Macaca mulatta: one gene and its partner. Each later gene encodes a partner of the first gene's protein in a complex. Links are inferred from orthologs where the notes say so. Each region holds a gene or a part of one and is shown on either strand. Other genes may lie near its edges.

Evidence for each region.
Region 2: the proteins of APOBEC3F (region 1) and CBFB are in contact, whole or in part, in a cryo-EM structure (PDB 6NIL), measured with the Homo sapiens proteins. The link is inferred for Macaca mulatta from reciprocal best matches to the Homo sapiens genes APOBEC3F and CBFB. Residues at the interface, in NP_660341.2 of Homo sapiens: Glu289, Leu291, Ala292, Arg293, His294, Ser295, Asn296, Glu324; in NP_001746.1 of Homo sapiens: Phe32, Asp34, Arg35, Arg43, Glu54.

Annotation. Positions count from the first base shown.
Region 1 is NC_133415.1:12,514,896-12,518,449, reverse strand, and holds part of APOBEC3F (DNA dC->dU-editing enzyme APOBEC-3F), read left to right. Parts: intron 1-504; coding exon of another isoform or gene 505-816; exon of another isoform or gene 817-964; intron 965-1,387; coding exon 1,388-1,667; intron 1,668-1,873; coding exon 1,874-1,988; intron 1,989-3,554.
Region 2 is NC_133425.1:62,604,056-62,607,609, reverse strand, and holds part of CBFB (core-binding factor subunit beta), read right to left. Parts: intron 1,436-3,554; coding exon 1,319-1,435; exon of another isoform or gene 885-1,318; intron 702-884; exon of another isoform or gene 1-701. UniProt on the Homo sapiens protein: Forms the heterodimeric complex core-binding factor (CBF) with RUNX family proteins (RUNX1, RUNX2, and RUNX3).

The DNA of each region.
Region 1 (3,554 bases):
CAAAGTGTTGGGATTATAAGTGTGAGCCACAGTGCCGGCCTATTTTTAATATTTTATTCAATCCAATGTCGCTAACATTACTTCAAGATTATTTAACATAAAATTCTTGACAAGATAGTGAAGTTTCTTTTTCTTGTCATGCTGAGTCTTTGAAATGAGCCGTGTAAGCCATGCTAGTGGGGTGGCTGGCGCCTGTATCCCAGCACTTTCGGAGGCTGAGGCCAGTGGATCACCTGAGGTCAGATGTTCGAAAACCAGCATGGCCAACATGGTGAAATCCCGTCTCTACTAAAAATACAAAAAAATTAGCCAAGCGTGGTGGCAGTCATCTGTAATCCCAGCTACTTGGGAGGCTGAGGCAGGAGAATCGCTTGAACCCATGAGGCAGAGGTTATGGTGAGTTGAGATTGCATCATTGCACTCCAGCCTGGGCAACAAGAGTGAAACCATGTCTCAACAACAACAACAAAAAGAGAAATGAGCGGTGTATAATGTATTTTTCAGGTGCCCAGGTCTCTCATCAGAGCCCCATTTCAAGTGCTCAGTAACCCCCTTGCCCAGTGCCCCCCACCACATGGGAGAGCACAAGTCCAGTGGCTTCTCCAGCAGATGGCAGGGAGGGAACAAGGCAGACCCCAGAGGGCCAGGCCACAGCAGGGGCTGAGGATGCCTGGTGAATGGATGCCTGGGAGAATGGATGCCAGAATTCACGCACGAGGCCGTGAACAGGGCTGGGAAAACTCCCAAACGAAGGGAAGCACGTGTCTTGGTGCACCTTGTGATGCTTCAACAGCAGGACTGAGACGGAGACATTGACAATGAATAGAAATGTGCTGGCTCGAGTTCTGGACGCTGGGAAATCCACTGTCAAGGCACCAGCGACTTTCCAGGGCCTGCGAGCTGCACAGTCACGTGGGGGTGAAGGTTGTTGCCAGAAGGTCGGGGATGCTCCAGCCAGAGTGGCCTGGGATGTCGGGTCACTGCTGCTCCATGCCACGGGGACAAGAGGAAGCAGGAGTTTAATCTTACACACTGCCCCTCCAGCTAGTGGGCAAGAGACAGAAAGTGGGACTAAAGTCGCCCTTGAATAACCACAGCAGTGGCACCCACAAAGGTGGAGTCCCCACAACCTCATAGCCGCTTGTATGTGCCACCTCTTAATGGTTAATGGTAATGGTTATGGTTAAGGCCATTACCATAGCAATTAACACTGAACATGAGCTTTGGAGCAGACAATCACTCAAACTAATCAGGGGGATGGAGGAAAGGAGCTTCAGTGGCAAGATCCCCTGGACTCCTGTCCTGGCCCCTCCTCCCACTGCCCCAACCCTGCCCTCTCCTCCTGCTCCCCCTCTCAGAGCATCCCCTGCCCCTGCTCCTCTCCCAGGTGTATTCCAAGCCTGAGCACCACGCAGAAATGTGCTTCCTCTCTCGGTTCTGTGGCAACCAGCTGCCTGCTTACAAGCGCTTCCAGATCACCTGGTTTGTATCCTGGACCCCCTGCCCAGACTGTGTGGCGAAGGTGGCCGAATTCCTAGCTGAGCACCCTAATGTCACCCTGACCATCTCTGCCGCCCGCCTCTACTACTACTGGGAAACAGATTATCGCAGGGCGCTCTGCAGGCTGCGTCAGGCAGGGGCCCGAGTGAAGATCATGGACTCTGAAGGTGAGAGGAGGAGGGGTCAGGGGAGCGTGAGCGGGAGGAACAGCATGAGAGATGGATGGATCTGCAATGCCGTGGCAGGGGGCGTCCCAGGGCAACCTACAGGGGCAGGGCCAGGGCTGACCACAACTGACAGCCAGGAGAGCAGGCCTGGGAGGGCAGGACCAGGGTCGGGGAGAGCCTGACTGCTTCCCTCCTCTTCATCTCAGAATTTGCATACTGCTGGGAAAACTTTGTGTACAATGAAGGTCAGTCATTCATGCCTTGGGACAAATTCGATGACAATTATGCATTCCTGCACCACAAGCTAAAGGAGATTCTCAGGTGAGGGTCTCCCTCTGGCCTCATGGTCTCTCTCCTCTCACCTCCTGCTCATCCTCCTGAGGCCTCCCCTGGCCAGGCCCTCCTGCCCTCCCTTCTGCCCCCTGCCTGCCCTCATAGTTACACCCCCTCACCCCAACTCCTCGTGTTTCCTCCACCTCCCTGCCTCCTCCCTGCTTTCCTGGGCCCCTCCTGTGAGTGAGAGGCCCCTTTGGCCTCCAGAGTGACCTCCATCCACCCCCGAGGCCGCCCTCCCCACAGCCTGGGATCCCCAACCTGGCTCCTTCCATCTCCCTGGCATAACCGAATTTGTCATAACAGTGGACGTAAGTGGGTATGAATATTCACAAGCTCGACAGCCAGAAGCTTTGAGCAACATCCTTCAAGGCTGACCTGAGCCCTTGAGAAGGAGCCGCCACTGTGGGAACAGAGCTTCAGGCTTCGGCTGCCATAGAAGATGGCCTGGGCCGGGTGCCCACAGGGCCGGCATTTATTTTCTCACAGATCTGGAGGCTGCAAGTCCAGGGTGGAGGGGTGGGCGGGGCTGTGTCCTCTGCGGCCGCTCCTCCTGGCCCTGTCCTCTCTGGCCGTTCCTCTGTGCACCTGCAACCCTAGGGTCTATCTGCCTCTAAATGTCCTCCTTGTTTATGGTCCCCAGTCAGACAGGATTAGGGCCCACCCTAAGGACCATGAGTTAATTTAACCACCACTTTAGTGGACCTGTCTCCAAATACAGTTATCCTGTGAGGAGGTGGGATGAGGACTTCAACATATCAATGTTGGGAAGATACAATTTAGCCCATGACAACGACCCAGGGGGCTTTGGGTCAAGCTTGGGTGGTGTGTGCAGGGATCTCCGTTCTGTGTGTCTGTCTCCCAGGAGTCCTGTCCTGACCCTCACAGCACCTCCCTTCAGACCTTGCTGCACCCTGGGCCGCACCCCATGGCTTCCCCACCCAACAGCACGCAGCGCGGCCTCCTGCTCACACCCGTCACTTCTCAAATCCTCCCCACAGGATGGAGATGCAGAAAGAGCCAAACACTCAGTGATCAAGGTCCCATGTGAATAAATTTTTTTTTTTTTTTTTTGAGACAGCCTCTCCCTCAGTCGCCCAGGCTGGAGTGCTGTGGTGCGATCTCGGCTCACTGCAACCTCTGCTTCCCAGGTTCTAGCAATTCTCTTGTCTCAACCTCCCAAGTACCTGGGATTACAAGCACATGTCACCACACTGGCTAATATTTGTATCTTTAGTAGAGATGGGATTTTGCAGTGTTGGCCAGGTGTTGAGTGAGATTTTACAAAAGCGTAGGCTTGGATAACGGGAGGCTTGAGATGCCAGGAACCTTCCAGGAAGCACAATAGAAAAAGGCAACCAGGGACCAGACAGGCCATAGAAAGAGATCATCTAAGGCCCTTGGGAGAGACGGGAACTAAGCACCTGGGTCTTAGACCGGAAGAGCAAACTGCAAGACAGGGTGGCCAGGGACACCAAGCTCTGCCCTTTCATCACATATAGACAGGAGCTCAGCCAGCCAGGGAACAACTCTAGGCAGGAGATGTGGAAGGAA
Region 2 (3,554 bases), on another chromosome or scaffold:
TTGGTCAGAGGTTTTACACAAACACCTTGAGCCAGCAGACTTCCACCTTTTGTCACTGGACTTGTGTGTGGCTTGGGGAAATGCTTTCAAAGTTCAGGGAGTTTGTCAGTCTATTTTGTGTTCACCCAGGGAAAAGTAGCATGCAAGGGCCTTCTGTGTTCTCTTCAGAGCAGATGTAGCCTTGTACGTGCATACAGCTTTCTGGATGACATGAGTGTAATCTTACTAGGGTCTACTTTACCTATCTCTTTCCCTGAATCTCCCTGATAAATTTCTGGCTGGTCTGCCATTTCGTTGCTTTCTGCAACATTAGCTTTGCCAGATTGTTTGCAAATGAGACCTCTATCATTTTAAACAATATGCCTGGGCATGGATTTTTTTTTCCCAAGCCCTACTTTTAATAAAGTCAGCTCTCTTTGGCAGGACAACAGATCTACCAGTGCTCATGGCTTACCCTGCCTGCCCAGGAAGAACTTGAGGGACCACACAGCTGGGGAATGGGAGCAGCTCCTGACTAAAATGCCACAGTCACTGATCTTACTGAGATTCAATAGCTTCCATGAGGCCTTAAATGGGTGTGGTTTGTTGTTGTTGTTTTTGAGACAGACTTTTGTTCTGTTGCCCAGCCTGGAGTGCACTGGCACCATCTTGGCTCACCGCAATCTCTGCCTCCTGGGTTCGAGCGATTCTTGTGCCTCAACCTCCCAAGCAGCTGGGATTACAGGTGTGTACCACACCTGGATAATTTTTATATTTTTAGTAGAGACGGGGTTTCACCATGTTGGCCAGGCTGGTCTTGAAATCCTGACCTCAAGTCTCAGGTGATCTGTCTGCCTTGGCCTCCCAAAGTACTGGGATTATAGGTGTGAGCCACCATGTCCAGCTCTTTTTTTTTTTTTTTTTAAACAATTTTTGTCAAGTTGTATCATTGCTTTCTGGGGAGAGGACTTGTTGAGCTCCTCACTCAAGCATTCCAAAAGCGCGGCTCCTACATTTTATTTTGAACTGCTTTTTCTTTTTTCCCTATTCATAATATTCTAGAGATCAAGAACAAATATTTTAAAGAACTACTTACTGGACTTTGGAGCCCCCCACTGAGCAGATACCAATAACCCATGAAATTTAGAACTGCTAAAGAAAAAAGTTTCCCAAAATCAGGATCAGAATTTGAGTCTCAACATTTTCAGGATTCCTCAATATTGCTTCGACATAATACTTTCTATACTTAAAGATTGGGTAAAATAGGTCCCCAGACAAAGGCAAGATTAGGGACTACAAATAAAGGGACCATGCTCAATAAAGCCTGACGTCACCCTACCTGGGCTCGCTCCTCATCAAACTCCAGACAGCCCATACCATCCAGTCTCTGGAGATCAATCCAGCCTTTCCAGATAACACAGACTCCATTCAGAATCATGGGAGCCTTCAAATACACCTAAGACACAGAAAAGGACGAAAATCATTGAAAAGCATCAGACACATGAAAATAAAAAGATTAAACTTACTTATATAAACTCTGTAGAAAAGATGAATAAAATTATGATTGATTGATTGATTGATTGACTGAGATGGAGTTTCGCTGTGCTCCCCAGGCTGGAATGCAGTGCCACGATCTCAATTCACTGCAACCTCTGCCTCCCAGGTTCAAGCAATTCTCCCGCCTCAGACTCCCCCCAAGTAGCTGGGATTACAGGCGCTCAAGCACCATGCGTGGCTAATTTTTTTTTTTTTTTTGGTATTTTTAGTAGAGATGGGGTTTCACCATGTTGCCCAGGCTGGTCTCGAACTCCTGAGCTAGGCAATCCGCCCGCCTTGGCCTCCGAAAGTGCTAGGATTACAGGCATGAGCTACCACGCCTGGCCAGACACTTTGATTTTTGAATGTTGGGTAGAAAGATGGGAAACAATTGGAAGCCACCACCCGCTGAAGAGAGCATGCACTGCTTCCCTCAACGTGGGTTCCTGGAGCCATGCAGGATCAGGCTCTTGATATTCCCTTCAGTTTTATAAGCTATCTCATAGATTCCTGATAATTAATCTTTTTTTCTTTTTATTTTTTTGTCTTGTTAGCCAGAGTTGATTTCTACTGCTTTTAACCAAAGAACTTGAACTGGTTAAATCACGTTAAGTAGTATGTGGTTATCTTTAGGTGTCCATAAATAATTCGGAACAAAACACTGCTATCCTTTATATGGGATTATGAAATTTAATTCAAGTTATTTCACAGTCTTTTATTTATTATTTTTTACTTTTCCCAATATGCAACAGTAAGCTGAATCAGTCTTTTAAATACAGTAGAAAAGTTATAAAGTCACAGGGTTTGACTACATGTAGTATGAATCATTGATCTCGAAACTGGTAAGTTAACCCAAAATCTACTTCTTTCAATTCCCTGTTGAAATTCTTAAATACTATAACAAAATCAACTAAGACAATAAGGCTAGGCACCAGTGGCTAATGCCTGTTATCCCAGTACTTTGTGAGGCCAAGGTGTGAGGATCACTTGAGGCCAGGAGTTCAAGACCTGCCTGGGCAACATAGAGAGACCTCACCTCTAAAAAGTTAAAAAATAAAAATAACAAAATGAATAAACTTAACCAAGCATCTTGAATTCTTAATGGAAATGTGTTTATTCCTTACACATAATACCTTTAGATAAGAAAATTAGCCAGACTTCCTATTGTTTCACATCCAACAAGTATATATGCTTATACATTAGAGAAATATCAAAAATGAGTATCCTAGGATATGGTAACATCTCAAGTCACTGACAAATATGTTCACTATACTTTATACACTGAGGTTTAAAAAAGTACCAACAAATTTTAAAAAGATCTTCAAAATTGCTGAAACCAAAAGTATCTCCCATCTGGTGAACCTTCAGCTTTATGATAAAACTCCTACATCCTGGCTAGGTGCAGTGGCTCACACCTGTAATCCCAATACTTCGGGAGGCCAAGGCGGGCGAATCACCTGAAGTCAGGAGTTTGAGACCAGCCTGGCCAACACGGCAAAACCCCATCTCTACTGAAAATACAAAAATTAGCCAGGCATGGTTGCAACCACAGCTATAATCCCAGCTACTCAGGAGGCTGAGGCAAGAGAACCACTTGAATTCGGGAGGCGGAGAGTGCAGTGAGCTGAGATAGTGCCACTGCACTCCAGTCTGGGTGACAGTGGAAACACAAAAAAAAAGAGAGAGGAAAAAAAAAAGAAAGAAAACTTCTGTTTCACATTTTAACTTTTCTTCTGGAAAAACAAAAAACAAACACACACAAAAAAAGTTTCTTCACCATTCTTTTTCAAGTAAATAACTCTAGATTAAAAATTGCTTTAGGTATACATCATACCCAAATTTAGATCATTTTGATCACCAAATTAATTCTCATATTGGCTCAAAATACAATTGTTCCCAAGAGTATCCACCCAGAAAGGATGGTGCTAATTCTATTATCCTGAGGTGAATATTTTATTGTGATAAACAATATAAGAGAAATTTATTACAGTTTCTACAATCTTTCCACTCCTAATACTACACCATTCTAATAGTTACTT